Lepisosteus oculatus: one gene and its partner. The protein of the gene in region 2 purifies or fractionates together with the protein of the main gene of each other region. This does not show direct contact. Links are inferred from orthologs where the notes say so. Each region holds a gene or a part of one and is shown on either strand. Other genes may lie near its edges.

Region 1 (7,766 bases), on a different chromosome or scaffold from region 2:
ATTGTCTGACAAGCTTTCACACTTCCTCTTACTGAAACAATTTACCTGGAGCCTGCCGTTTGAGAATATTTTCAGGCATTGTAATATGGAGGGGATACCTGGATATGATATGATATAATATGATTAGCCATACAAATACGTACAAACTGTTTAATAATCTATATAATAGATTGAGAAACACATTTGTTTAAATCCGTACATAGAATTTGTACATAGTTTTACATTTAACTGACTTCAGGCTTGGAAAAATCTACTGCTTTGAGAGTAAGTGGTGTTAACAGGACTGTCAGTTCAAAAGACTGCATCCCTCTGCATTTAATATTGCAGGGTTAGACTCTGAAATTTAGAAATTTGTGTAGGATAGACCAGATTAAGCTTGTACCTCAGAGGAACAAATAGGCTATACATTATGTACTTTACAGTGCCAGCTACAGGGTTAATATTGTAGCTTCAAAACACACTATAGATTTCAATCTGATATGTGCTAATGTTGTGAAAATGTGTCTCTGGGTTCATTGTTACAGCTGTACCTGTACTCACCTCATCTTCTATAGTAAAGCCTTAATTTGTAAATTTAATCTTTTATTTTAAGGTGTGTGTATTAAAACAATAGCAAACTGTCTCACTGTGTTACCAATATAGCATCAAACCTGAGGTGAAAACAAGTACTGTACTATATGAAGTATGAACACCTCCTGACTGTGGAAAAGCTCATAAAAAGATATTTGCTTATGGCCTGCAAAGACAAGAACACTGGGCTCTCCCCCTTTGATTGAAAGAGCAGTTTATAATTGCCCATTGCCACTCTGTGAATTCTGATGTTAGAATACCCTCTAGATTGACCTAATCTACAGTGGCTGAAAGCATAATAGGGATGTGATAGAATAACATGGGTCAATGATAAAATATGGAGATCAAACAGTCCAAAAAAAAATCCCCTATTGTTGATTCATTTGAAGGCTGCATGCTACAACACATTAATGTTGACATAACTGGGTTACTCTTGGAACCTAAAATTAATAATTCAAATGAAGGCTGATCTCTTTTAAAGAAGGATGTACAGATAGTTTTATTTTTATAAATATATATGTGTGCAAGAATGTTTACAAGTTCAAAATAACAAAGATTATTTATGTGTTGGAGTGGATTTTGTATTTTTTGTATTCTGTTCTGCTTTTTAAAATTCGTATCACAAGCATTTTTGTATTTGCATTTAATATTTTTTAATTTTTGGAAATTATTTATGAACGTATATATTTTTTCCACAATATATTTGCTTTATTTAAAAATCCTGTGTGCATGTGTTTTATAATGTATAAAATATCTGCATTATGTTCTCTGCTGTGGTTGTACTTAGGCTCTGTAGTTGAAATGCCTCTAATCCAATAGCAGTATGTATTTGTCTTTTAAATGAGGAATGATAAGTTTCAGGATTCTTGTGGTTATTAAACAGCCTGACAGATTTGTCAAAAAGGTCTTTAAAACATTCACCAGTGGAGTCTAAACTGTCTTGTTTGGTGACCATCATCTTACTGATCCAAGAGTCCTATCAAGCTATTTCTTGAAGTGGGACAAGTGTTTTTTTTTCCAGACGGCATCTTATTTTGTGTCCTGAAAACTCCTCATAATTCTTACTTGTGTCCTTCTGCCACTGGTGGTCTTAAAGACCTCTCTTGCATTGAAAATTGCTATTCAGGATTTTTGTAAAAACACCTAACGTTTTCATGTTAACAATAACAGTGTATACGTTTAAAATATTTTGTGCGAGAAGCTCTTCTCTGTGTAAACACCAGTTTTGCTGTAATGCCCGTTGTAAATGGGTATTTCATTTATCAGCTCTTCAGTCAACTTTGGGTTAATCCTTTTGCTCTTTGTCTTTGAGGTACTCCATTACAACAATAATAATGAATAGATTCAGACCTGATACATACTTGGCCACGACCGGCTGTTACCAAGTCACATATGATGGTTTGAAATCAGTTTATTCTTCAATCTCCCATCTGTTAGCTGACTAAAAAGTGAAAAGCGACATGCTACTCACTTGCATCCATTCATTTCCTAATCACTTTATCCAGTTCAGGGTCACGTAGGAGCCGCAGCCTGTCTTAGCGAGTAACAGATGCAAAGCAGGATATACCTTGGATGGGACACCAGTCCATTACAGGGCACACACAGACACACACATACTCGCACCAGGACCAATTTTCCCAGACCTACTAGTATGTCTTTGGACTGTGGGAAGAAACCAGAGCACCCGGACCAAACTCAAGTGAACATACAAACTCCACACAGCTAGCATGTTTGGAATTGAACCCAGGGCCCCAGTGCTGCGAGGCAGCATTGCTAACCACTCTGCCACTGTGCTGCCCCCAACACAAGTGCAATTTTTCATTAAAATTGCTGAAAGCCTTAAAACTGAACAAAAATTAAAGTTAACATGTCACAGATCGGGCATGGAATGGTGGTACAGTGAATAGCATTGCTGCCGCGCAGTAATAGGGTCCTGGGATCAATTCCGGACCTGCTATCTGTGTTGAGGTGGTATGTTCTCCCCCATGTTAGTGTGGGTATCCTCCCAAGTGCTCAGGTTGCCTTCCACTGTCCAAAAAAAATACTGGTAATAATAATTGCTTTATGCTTCTATAGCACTTTTCTGGGTGCTCCACTCAGAAAGTTTTACAGGTAATGGGGTATTGGAGACTCCCCTCCTCCACCACCAATGACTAGGCCCACTTGGATGCAATGGCAGCCAAAGTGCACCTGTACACTCACCACACATCAGCTATCAGAGAGCAGAGTGATTCATCTAATTCATAGTTGGGGATTAGGGGCAGAGTGGTAGCACTGTGGCTGAAAGGTTGCCGGTTCAAATCCCACGGCTGGCAGAGGAATCCTATTCCGTTGGGCCCCTGAGCAAGGCCGTTAACCCCAGCTGCTCCACGGGTGCCATATAAATAGCTGACCCTGTGCTCAGACTCCAAGCTTCTCTCTCCCTGTCTTAAAAAATTTTATTGGTAAAGGCCAGTGGGAAATTTGGTCAGGACATTGGGGATAAGACCTCAACTTCTTTCAAGAAATACCCTAGCATTTTTAATGACCGCATTCAGGACCTTGGTTTTATGTTTCATCCGAAGGACACTGCTATATTTGAGCACATAGGTAGCACCCTGCAGTCTGTTTGTCCCACTAACACCTATCCCTTAGGTTTCCTCAGAAGTCTCACATCCCAAGTATTGGCCAGGCTCATCCCTACTTAGCTTCAGTGGGCTGCCAGTTGGTAGTTGCAGGGTGATATAGCTGCTGGCTAGTAGATTAATTGGCTTCTGGAAAATTGCCCCTAGGTGTGAGTGGGTGCATGTTTATCTATGTGTTTTTGTCTGTCTGCCGATGGACTGGAACCCCATCTGGGGTGCACCCTGCCTTGCACCCCTTGCTTGCTGGGATCAGCTCAGGCTCCCCTGCTCCCCTGATTTGGAAGAAACGGATAGAAAATAGATTTCACAGATTGCTTTTAGACCTCAGGTAAATTATGCAGCTACCAACAAAAGGAAATTGGAAGAATCATAAGTACTGCTCTGCATTTGGTGTATAAAAAATTGGACTAAATACTTTTTATTAGGCTGAAAATGGAGCTGTAGAAAAAAAAATCAAAAATACCAATCCCTCTTTTCTATTCCAATAAATGGATTCCATTTTCCCTGAAATGAAGAACACAACCCTGCCCTATGCACTGGAAAGAGCTGCTCTGTATTTCACAAAATTACATCAGCACCATGACTGCTGTAGCAGCATTTTCAGTGAACTCTGTGGTTAAGTATAAGTAAAGTCCAATGCAGTTTTTTCAGGCTTTTGACTTGGGTGGTCAGAATTTTACAAGGAAGCTTGCAAAGGATGTGCACTGCCTCTGACCCAATATGGATCCAGGCTATAAGTACAACAATTGGTTATTTTCCAGACTGGCAAGAAGATGACCTGATGTCTCATGAGGTGCCTCACTTTTGAGGTGGAACATAGCAATTTGGGGCCAATAGAATCTGGCGGGTTACGCTGATATCATTTGGTAACTAAACCTTTCTGCAAACGGCATGTGATTGAGGGCCCAGGAACGTTGGGAGATCGCTCTAGGACATGTGTAGAATGACTGGAATGACATCATCTGAGTTACTACAAACTTCAAGCATGCATGGATCAGTTTTCACAGGGGCAGCTGCTGCAGGATTGACTGCATAGCAGAACAGGGCCCGAGGCACAGTCTGGTGTCCTGCTCCTGCATCTATTTGTTTTCAGCACTGTCTTGTACTGCCACTGTTTTACAAAATAGCTGGTTGTCCATCTGAAGCGAAAGGAACTGAAAACGAAGTGGCAGTGCTCAAGAAACACTATATACTGAAACTCTATCTAAAACCAATGCAATTCAATCCAAAGATGTTTAGGTTTAAAACTTGGTACAAAAGTGAAACACTATGTTTTTGGTATATAGCCTACTGTATTCGTATTATTAAAAATAGAATTATAAACAGTACGAACAATAGTGACTATTAGCTGAAGAAATATGCTTATAAGCAAGACTCAAAACAAGGAAAATATCAGAATTTTTTCTGTTTAAAAAAATGTTAAATTAAATTTTATTAGAAGGTTGATTCGTTTAAAACCTTTTTTGCATCCAGTAAAGAATGAAAACGTCATTGCTCCGCGACAGAGCGGAAGTGGGTGCAGTTCGTGTATAAGTGAACTTCCCAGTTAGGAAGAACAAGTTGAAGTTTAAGTTGTTAGCAATATCTAGTCGACAAAGTATGTGTGGAGGTTGTGTACAGAAGGAATACCCTGACAGGGTAAGATAAATAGATTTTTAAAGTTCGTCCGTGGCTAAAACCATGTTTTGGCTAGTGTACATTTTAAAGAAATGTTTTAGTGCATGTGTATTGGTTTTGTTCACACGGATTTGAATGTTCACGTCTTTTATTCAGCAATATTCATTAAGGCTCATATTTTAAAATACATTGAATTCGGAAACTATAAAACTCGTTCATGTATTTGTTTACTTTTCCTAAAGTATTTTAAATGGTTGCGATTAACGTACTATACGCGCAAAGGAGCTCACTTAAATATAAATCTATTGTGGTTTGATAGTTGAAGTAGCACAAAAGATTTTGTAGTGCAATAAAATGAAAACGATTTATTTCGAAAAAAAAAACACTGCTACTCACATATTACCGTAAGCATTGCTTCTAGACGTTGATTTATACTGATAAAGCATGTTGTCATTCGCAAAAATTGCAGCACACCTCAGAAATTAAAGATTACTGTGCTCCTGTAATATAAATAATTTAAGATAAAAGTACCGGAAGAACAGATGAGGTGGGATTAATAGGTTTAACTTAATCTTTACACAGCATCATGTTCTTTACCTACATCATAATTCTTTGGTTTGTTGTCAAATTCGAGCAAAACTCCGGAGTATTACACTATTGACTATCTTAAAATTAGTTACCTTTTGAGATATCTCAAAGGATTCATATTTGCTCACCCTACCTCCCTTTCATTTCCAGGGTAGCACATGTTTAGAAAATGGGTCCTATTTGTTGAATTATGTGGGCTGTGCAAAATGCAACCAGCGGGACTTTGTGATGATCGACAACAGAGTCACAGAAGATGACGATGGAGAAGAAATTGTCACCTATGACCGTGAGTTTATGTCTTTGATGTACAAATTGCCCCAAAGAGGAATGTCCATTTAGACAGAGGAACTGTCTCAGTGGCAGGCAGTTTGTGTTGGGGGGGAAGAACGATCTTCAGATTTATCCCCAGTTAAACCCCACATACAGTTACCCTTGTGTAATTTTAAGCAACGGTGAATCTCCCTGCTGGGATGGGATGAAATTGTGCTGAAACTTATGATAAAATTGATTTTTTGTTTTTACATTTTGCTTTCATCCTAAAAGATCCAAAGATTTTTGCAGGGGCAAAAGCCCTCCTTTCTCCTCCATAATCTCTTGCTTTTTTCTCACTCTTGTTTTAACAGATGTGTGTAAAAATTGTCATCACATCATCGCAAGGCATGAATACACCTTTTCTGTTGTGGATGAGTACCAAGTACGTACCCATAATCTTTCATTCTTTGTGCACACCAGTAATTATGTGAGTGAAAGATATTCTCCAATTTATTAAGTGTAAGAAATGGTTTTCCTTATTTGATCAAGTATTATTTTTGGCAAGTATAAAGCAAAATTTTGTAATGAACTAAGTAGTTTTAAGAGTGCTGTTATGTACACACAGAGCACAGAAGAGTCCTGAGTCCTCAGAGAATGTTGTGTATTATACGCAGGAGGCTTTTTTTGCATGAAGCCTCACGGGAGTCTAGAGCAAGTTATATTAACAGCCATATTGTGGAAGCTGACACAGTGGTTTCTTTCAAAAAATGGCTGGATGAGATCATTGGATCAGTTACCTATCTACAGCCAAACAAACTAGTTGGGCAGAATGGATCTCACAGTTGTACAGAACCATTCATGTGAACTTGAAGAAAGGTTACATATTTTATAAATTTCATTTAACCTAGGTCTGGACTTCTTCATATTCTTAATAAAACTACGGTGTTGAATGTTTATTTCCCTGTCAAATATAAAGAAATCAAGTAGGTTGACTTTGTCAGTGGGGTTTTTGAATATTTGAATCAGATCCAGTTCAAGACTAAAAAGATTAATTTCTTGTAGCTTCTCAGAATTGGATGGGCTTTTAGTTCCAATTTTTTAATTGAGGTTTTACAAGTGTTTTCAAGATAAACAACTGAACCAAGTTTCTATGTTGTAAATACCCTATATTACAGACCTTAGATCCCTCTTTTCTCCACACCCTAAATCATTGAGCGTAAGAAATATGGCAAAAAACTTTTAGGTTCGGAAGTATCTGTTCTTACTTCTCTCTGAATTAAGTCTTACTTATGCATTGTACATTTTCAACACAACACTAGATTTAAGTATACCAAATATACCAAATCTATATACCAAAGTTTGGTTTGTATTGCCTCCCTACATTGTCTAGAACAGGAGATCTCAACCTTGGTCCTGGAGACCCACATTAATGCTGATTTTGTACCAGCTGAGCGCTGTCTTTAAATGTCCTAACAAGTCACTTGATTGGAAATTTTTCTTACTTGTTAGTGAGTAGAAAATAATGCAATCTTAATTTAATTATGCAAGACAATAGTTAAAACAGCCTCAAACTGGTTTAGGAAAATAACTCAAGAACTGAAATTATTCTTATTATTGGTCAATTAACAGCTCATTTCTGTAACTGACAGCTCAGCCAGTGAGTAGGTCTCCAGGCCCATGGCTGAAAAGCCCTGGATCAGAAGATGAAATTGTCCTCATAGACGCTTTAGTCTTTTCCCAAAATACTGTAGCATCTTCTTTTATCTGTATTTTGATTCTCCTACAGAACTTGCTTGTAAAACTCAACACTTACATTAAATGCAGTCTGCCAGGCGTATGCCCAGTCTGAAAGTTTAGGAATTTCCATGTTTCATTTCCAGATTCTACACTGTTTGTTAATCCTTCTATTTTGTTATAATATTCAAATGTAACCAGTTTACTAACTATACAAGAATTTCTATGTTATTATACATTAGGAATGTCAGTGGTCCTAGCACATATCCGTGTGTTTCTCCTTTAATTACATCACCCCTAATTTAAGTGTACTGTTTTATATTCCTTAATTACCATATCCAAATACATGCATGTAAGTTCCTCAAAAAAGATACCTTTTAC
Region 2 (8,281 bases):
TCCAAGATGGTTTTGTCGATAAATGGAACTTACTTGTTAACTGTACATGTAAATCATGTTGGAGACATTCTGTGGTGAAATATCTAATGCACAACCTGGACTTAGTTGCTTGTACATCACATTACATAGCTATTATGGTGACTAGTGTGCAGGAAGGGTGGTTTCACATCACAATTCGCGCAAACTCTCATGGATGCGAGATGTAAACAGCTAGTGCAAGGCAGACTCCCTCTGTGCTGGAGAGCCAGGATCCAGCACACTTTACGAATCACCTTTAAATCATCAATTTCTAAATGACTGGAACAATTTCATTTTGACCACTTAAGCAGGGGACTGGGTCAATTTAGCAGTGTAGAAATAATTACAACACTCTGTGGCTCCCAAGGATCACAGTTGTCTGTTCCTGATTTACCAGAAGTAAACCGATCGAGTTCTTCTCTTCCAAGTCTTTAGAAACCGATGATTGAAGGCAAACCTACAAGACCTACTGGATTCTCTCGCTCTCAAGGACCAGGGCTATCCCCATACAGGCATGTGGAACAGGACACTAAAATAGCTAACTACTGTAGGTATTTCCACAGCATTGCAAAACTGACCATGTTCACCGAAAAGTACTGTCTAGCTGCTACACTAAGGAAAGAATGCAGATGACCTGTCGCAACAGGCATGCCCACAGCCACACAAGCACTGAAGGCTAAAATCAGCAGTCACCGTGAGCTTAATCTCTGCAACTTTCTTCTAGACAGACCTACTCAGAGTCTCGTGTCCAAGCAGAGTGACCAATCCATTCTCTCCGATAATCCGACTCTTGTTGTACAAACAATCTAGGTCTAGGTTAAATGATTTTTTTCAAGGGACACCTCCCCAGTAGTCCAGCTGGGTGAGACCAAGCTAGTGAGGGTTACGAATCAAGCCCCAGGGTCACAAAACAAGCATGTCACAGAGCTGGAATTCAAGTCTTTTGTAACCCACTGTCCAGACGCCTACCTCCAAAAGTGCACACAATACTTAAGCCTGTGATAAAACAGCCAATATGCAAGGTGCTAGAATAGTTTGTAAGACATACAAAAACATTTCAACTAAAACTATAATAAGCATTCATACAGAAATAGATTTGATTTGTTGTATAAAACAGTTAAAGTTCTTTGGGCTGTGAATGTGGTTTCAGTGCTGATCTCACTTCCCTTTGAGTCATCAGTCAAGCAGTGCACAACTAGCACTTTTCTGCAACGCACATTAACCAACATCCTTCAAAGTGCTCTGTTAAGTTTCCCTCCCTGTGCAGTCCAGCCGGCAAGTTAATGTGCACTAGTTCAGAAAAAAACGAAACGCACGTTTCTACTGCCAAATCTCCAAGCTGAAAAAAAGAACCCACCCACTGCTCTTATCGCTAATGGGCAGAGATATCTGGACTGCTCGGTCTCTAAACGATTTATGCAATCAGCTCATTGTACCTGAGCTGATTTAAAAAGGAAACAAATGTTGTTCTTTTCAGGTTGAAATTTTATAAGCGTCCTCAGCTCGCTGGCAACCTGTTCTAAAATCTGTTCTTAAACAACAGTTGTAGAGTGCAACTACTTAATTATCTTTACACAAATTAATCACCACTGACCAAATTATTAAAACGGTGTAACACCACAATCAAAAGCCTAAGGCAATACATTTCTGTACGTGTTCAAACATTACTCACAGTATCTCCGCATTAAATATGCAGCAGTGCATGTTTTTATAGGGATCTCACCGTGGCGAATAAATACATCTAACTACACCTAATACATTTCATCTGAACTGCCACTTCCACAGGTATGCTTCAGAAGCAGTGCTCTGTAGTCTTCACACGCTGCAATGATGAAGAAAGCTAAAAAATACCTCCTGTGGCGCTGGTAAACTAATATTTGACAGAAAAGGGACACGCTGCTATGAGCTTTCTTTTTTGATGGACGGAGAATGGAGTGCACTGTGAAAAAAAAATACATAACCTCCAGTGTCCCAGAAAAAGGACAGGATGTCCATCTGACTGGTGCTTTATTTAGTCAGAACGAATTTACTTATTTATGAAAGGACTGTAAGTCTGTTTGCAATATGTTCCTCACTTACAATCTGCTGTGAACTTGGAACCCAAATACTTCATTTTATTTAAGCCGCTTTTCCGCAGTGAGTTTCATACATCAAGGAGTATCAATAAGACACCAAGACAGATGGACGGACTGAAGTCATTCTTAGTAAATCGGCAGGTTCTTAAAGTGATTTTTCTTAACGTTGTTCTTTACAATTGTTTTTCTTGGTTTGTCATTTCGCAAAGAAAGTAAATTCAGAAGCGCTTTGGGAACTAACGCGAAGAATGTGTTTGCATGTACAGACTTGAACAAACAGACGAACTGTGGCAACACACAGTACGGCAACATGGCTGCTGTATGGAGGAAATATCAATCTTTTAATCGCGGAACGCGTCACCTGTTTCACAAATGATCGGAATTTACAAATAAAGGGGCTAAAATGAGAGTTGTCCGAGCAGGGCTTTCTAATCCCGAAAACCTTCCAAGCGAAGCGCCGCGACAGATAGCCCTGCGTGATCTGACATCCTGTCGAGCTCTGTAAAACCGCAAGCAGGGGCTGTACCAGTGATAACTGTATAAGGACATTTCAAACTACAGAGGCAGAGTGCTGGTGCATTTTCAACACCGCTGTGCAACCGCTTCCAGTTTCTGTCGCCCTCGCAAACAATACTGCCCCAATTCATTGATAAAACGGCACAATCCGTAGCTTCGACTTAGAAACTTTTTTTTTGTTACCAGAACAATGCGATTCACCTACGGGGCACTTAAATATACCGTGATGGCACCGATGTACTGATGGTTCGTCATACATATGATAGGGGAGAGGAGAGAAACATCTAATGATTTCACCGGGGACATGCGAGCTCCGTTTCTTCCCCTTACGGACTAAATTCCAGCAATTATCCCCTGTGTTGGCCCTTGGTGGCAAGCGATGACTACATCCATACAAAATGCACAATGCCAACACAGTCTACCCACTACTGCAGAACGTGGCTCAACAAGGGATCTTAGCGTTGAATCTAAAACGTATATACCTTGTGAGCACCAGATTAAGCATCAGTCCCTTTGAAGAAAGCGGAATTGACAAGCTGACAGACTCACATTCCTTTGCCTACCCACCCAGTCAGCTAACCTCTTTACTTCCTGTTTCAGGCGATTCTATTTTCCATAGCCACAATCAGCCATAGAAGAATCGGGCAGAAGCACAAATCACCGAAAGTAAGAAATCTGTCATCAGACCTACCCCGGTTCCATTGTCACAAACCACCACTTTCCTTCCCTGACCGTCCATTTTTCAGAATCCAGGAACCTGCAGACCTCTCCTGCTCAACTTTCTTCAGCAAGCCGGAAATCACCACCCCGGCTCCCGGAAAGGGTTTCTTCCGGTAAGTCTGCCATGTGACCCGAGCTTCCACGTTAGAGCCCGCCCGTCTAAAAAATGGACGTGACGTTATCCAATCACAATGGAGAAAATTGCGGCAGCTGTGGCAGCTCATCCTGGTACCTGAACTGACGAGTTATTGACATGGCGTTGCAGCCAATCAGATCTTTAGGCTCTACGTTACAGTTGAAGATAAGTATTCTTTTCAATGAGCCAGCGAAGACCTTGTCGGTTCCGAGGGAAAAAAGGGTGTGTGTTGTTTTGTTTGATACAGGAAGAGAATGAAAATGTTAAAATGTTTATAAATGTACTTCTGGTATTGTCACATACAAATTACCATTTGCTATAGACATGAGGGATGATAATGCTACAAAACTAATACGACATTTTGTATTAGGCAATAAGAACAACAATAACAATAATAACCAATATACTGAATGGTGCTATAGTAAAACACTAATCTTAATACAATGTGTCGAAAATACAATGTTAACATAGTTTTAATGTTCTACGGTAATCTTATGAGATTTACTGACCGATTTCAATAGTATTTAACAAAAAATGCAAAACATGTAAAAGCTTGCAAAGGTAACACAAGAAAAAAACTCTCAGTGTGGGCTTTACTTCTAAATTGAAAATGAAACCAGGAAAACAAGTAGTAGTCGGACTAGAAAAAAATACTATTAATCCTCAATATGAACCTGTTGTTCCTGTCTTCTCAAAGTATACAACTATAAATACCACCCCTGGACTTCAGACAGGTGCTGAGTAGGTACAGTCTGTGAGGCCTTGTGCAAGATAAAACACTGTTGACTAGCAAAGTGACAAATGTCGTGACTGTGTATGAAGATGAATCACTTATCGGCCTGTATCTGTGTATGAAAATGAAGCAATTAAAGGAATACTGATTTTTCCACTCCATTGAAGGTTGTTTCTGTAAATTGCCTCATTTTGTAGAATAAGCCACTCCTTAGTCTCCTGGAGGTGTTTACTAAAATTGTCTGTTCAGCAGGTGACCCAAAATCAGTACCTGCTACATGAGTATCACCAGAGATCTCTGGAGGAATGGCTGCTGTAGGTACCTGGTCATTTTCACTGCCCGCTGTAGAGAAAATGAGGTATTTAATTGTACAAGGACAGCACTCCACTGATTGTGTGGAACAGGCTATGGCAGGTAAGTGACACTCAGGACTCAACACTACAACATCTTGCCTAACACTCGGCTCTACATTGAGGTGATATAAAGGAAATAAAACATCACACAAGCCTCCACACAATACACAGTACCAATGCATTTCACTTAAATCATTACAAAGATCGGTTTTAAACACGTGAGGAGACTTATCCAAATGTAACTGATCTTATTAAAAGGTCAGTTTTCTGCTGCTATGGGTGTCCATTGCAAAATGTGACCAATATAAACATTAGGGCTAGATTTGATCTATTCCTTTGTTTTACCAGCTATGTCAATTAAGATCAAATTCAAATTATTTTCACTGATGGCCTGGGGCTCCATGTATGAGTGGGAGGAATGTAGGCATGTAAAAAGAGTAAGTACCCGGTTGAAGAGTACAACAGCAGCATTTACCTGGGATTCGAGCACCCGATCCTTGTGGTCCAGAGAGACAACCACTGTTCCACTCTGTATTTCGAAGGATTGTAAAGATTTGTAGGCACACTCGGATAATGTCACATCAGCGGCTCGTTTTATCTTTGGGACAGCCATGGGAATTTGTGCCTGTTTGCAGATTGCATGGCAATCTATGGTTTTCTGCAGTTGTAGTTTTTATTTTTCTAGAATAGATACTTAAAATAGTTTATTGAGTATTAATGACCAAAAAAAAACTAAATGAGATTAAGATCATATTAATCAGAACTAATAGGGATAATCACATCAGGGTTACCTGAATGATAACTAATAAGAAGTCCTTACACTTATATAGTATATTATATACGCTCATCACATACCAGCTATCAGTGGGGAGGAGAACAGAGTGGTAAAGCCAGTTCATAGATGGGTATTTTTTAGTGACCACAGAAAATCAGGGCCTCGGTTTTACATCTCATTCTAAGGATGGCACCTATTGAACAGTATAGTGTTCCCGTCACCATACTGGGGCATTAGGACCCACTCAGACCGCAGGGTGAGCGCCCCCTACTGGCTCCACTGACCCCACTTCCAGCGGCGACCTCAGTTGTCCCAGATAGGTCTCCCATCCAGGTGCTGGACAGGCCGGGTACTGGCTTCAGTGTGTTGTCAGTTGTGAGCTGCACAATGATATAGCTGCTGAAGAGCTCTGCTCACTGGAGCTCTGCGTGTTTCTAGATATTGAGAATGACAGGGAGACGGGCCGGTTCGTCGTGGGCAGAGGGGGCTACCCCAACAGCGAGGGGCTGGTTGAGTGTGACGCTGCGCTCATGGAGGGGATCGCGGGCCGCTTTGGTGCAGTGGCAGCCCTTCAGGGGTAAGACAAGTATACACCCTTTACATCGAATTGTTCCTTTTTACTTGCTCTCCTTTTTGGCAACCTTGATACTTTAATCCACAAAGCCAAGAGCGGTGACTCCTAGCCAGCTTCACTGCTACATTTGAAGTGCTGAAACCTTGCAGCCGATGAGTGCGACTGTTCTGGTGAGAGGCTGATTAAGTATCCTGTGCACCGCCTGTCTTTTTCCTTTTGTGCTTTTATTTTCGGCATGTCATGGAATCTGTCTCTTTGCCTCTGTGCTAGACGACAAATAAGTGTTTTCAGAGAGAAAATTGCAAGGTGTCAGCCATAGTCACTGGCTTTAACAGGACACGCTTTAAATAATGAAGTACTGTGTCCCCCAGCTTCCAAGCAGGAGGCTGATCAGGAGACTGATGCATTTCTAAACACCGGCCCAATGGCGCCCTCTAGTGTCGATCCACGTCGCTACAGTCTTTTCTCTACTGCTGTGGAGACTTTAGCCAGGTGGCAGTAAAAGTCCATTTATGTGAGCTCAATAAGACAAAATATTTGATTATTTTTAAAAGCGCTCCCTCAGCTGTTCAGTTTTAGCGTTTTAAAGTGTTGTATGTCTGAAGAACATGTCACAAATGTTTCTCTACTGTACTGTGTTCCTCCCGGTTAGCATCCCGTTCCTTCGCAATCCGGTGGATTGTTGTGCCCCCTATGTCTGTGCCCCTGACGCGTGTGTGTGGTGTGTGTGTGACAGTGTGGGGACTCCAGTCAGAGTGGCCCGCAGAGTCATGGAGCAGAGCTGTCACAGCCTGTTGGTCGGGGAAGGAGCCCTGGCGTTTGCCCTGGAGCAGGGTTTCACCGTGGAGGACAATGAGAGCATGCTGGCTCCAGAGACAGCCAGGGCCTATCAGGTAACATTCACCTCCAGCTGCTGAATTATAGATCATCAGGGGCAGCCTATGTGGGTCTCTTGTTATTCAAAACTGCACGGTAATATCCATTCGATATGTATTCATATTTACATATTAATACCTGTACACGGGCATTATTAATGTTCACACACTGCATTCCAGCACAAGTGATCCTGTTTACTAATGTATTAATCCTGACATCTGTCAAACCAGAATGTACAACATTTTGTGTTTTACTCTGTCTTGTAAAATGAAGTGATTTCTGTGTTTTGAGACTAAGAGAAAGAGGCAATTTGGGCAAACTGTCCAGATGTTTATTGAATAAATACAATTACAGTATGTACCAAAAGTTCATAGTGTAGTCACACTATGTTTAATGCACTGACAAATAAAAACCCCAAAGAAGAGGCAGGTATACAAAGAAAAAGAGAAATCATGTTTTTGTACTTTGTGAACTAACAAAATAACACTTTTTAAAACAAAACATTCATCTGTGTTATTTAATTTTTGAGACATCTATATTTGTAAACTAGAAACCAATGTAATTGTAGAGCACAGGAAAATGTTTTATTACAATTTATAATAAAATATTTATATGTATAAGTATAGAATTAATATTGTTTTATTTTGAACAATGTTTTATCTTTCTGATTTCAAGGATTTTTGTTCACAAAGACCACTCATGTCAAGAGTGGCTCAAGTAGCAGTACTGAAATACTGCAGTCTGACGTGAGAAAATACAGAAAATGTCAGCTGGAAACATTAAGAAAGCCATTGAAATCAATTTTGAGAGCATGGAGAGATCTAAGATCTCAAAGTGTCTGGCAATGAGTGCTTTGCAATGGCTTCTGTAGCTCTTCAAACCCAAACACTCTCTGGTCTTTTCTGGTGGAATAGAAGGACGACAATGGATATGTTATGTCCAGATAGTTTTGTCTAAAAGTATAAAAGTTTTCATAAAAACATTTGGTGGGCAATACTGGATCTTGACTAAGCAGAAATAAAGGAGAATTTGCAAAAAAAGGGTGTGAAATTCCACAGACAGCTACTTACAGTAGTTCCTCTTAAAGGAAAGGGTCTAGAATTGTCTGGTCTTGGAGTAATTCATCTCATTCTCGCCAGCCTGGAGAATACTTTCGAGATTTTCAGTACCTCTGATTAAAAGCTGTACAGTAATTAAGAACTCCTAATGAAATTACACGGTCAGGTGACAGGATTCTACAAGAAGTAATTGCTTTTGTATTTGCTTCAGATTAATTAGGAAAGCATCAGTTTCCTTCAGTCTTAATGCCTGGTTTGAAACAGTTGGTTTTAAAAGTAAGCTACCAGTGTAATCCATATACTGTAGGTAGGACAATTCCAACTATTGTTATAAATTACACAAATATGCTGAAGTTATATATTTTTAAATATTTTAACAAAATTATGTTTATCCTTTCTATTATATCTAAGGATTTTTTAGAAAAGAAGAAAAGTTTGTCTGGACAC

What was found.
Region 1: the proteins of actin-related protein 2-B (region 2) and churc1 purify together in Homo sapiens (affinity purification with mass spectrometry; 4 studies listed by BioGRID and IntAct, with this or other methods). This does not show direct contact. The link is inferred for Lepisosteus oculatus from reciprocal best matches to the Homo sapiens genes ACTR2 and CHURC1.

The regions. Positions count from the first base shown.
Region 1 is NC_090703.1:20,995,353-21,003,118, reverse strand, and holds the start of churc1 (protein Churchill), read left to right. Parts: upstream 1-4,706; 5' UTR 4,707-4,793; coding exon 4,794-4,832; intron 4,833-5,549; coding exon 5,550-5,685; intron 5,686-6,022; coding exon 6,023-6,093; intron 6,094-7,766. UniProt on the Homo sapiens protein: Transcriptional activator that mediates FGF signaling during neural development. Plays a role in the regulation of cell movement.
Region 2 is NC_090712.1:9,089,391-9,097,671, forward strand, and holds the start of actin-related protein 2-B, read right to left. Parts: upstream 3,439-8,281; 5' UTR 3,349-3,438; coding exon 3,301-3,348; intron 1-3,300. Other genes in the region: N(4)-(Beta-N-acetylglucosaminyl)-L-asparaginase, read left to right, coding at 4,504-4,612, 5,765-5,903, 6,637-6,793, 8,246-8,281. UniProt on the Homo sapiens protein: ATP-binding component of the Arp2/3 complex, a multiprotein complex that mediates actin polymerization upon stimulation by nucleation-promoting factor (NPF).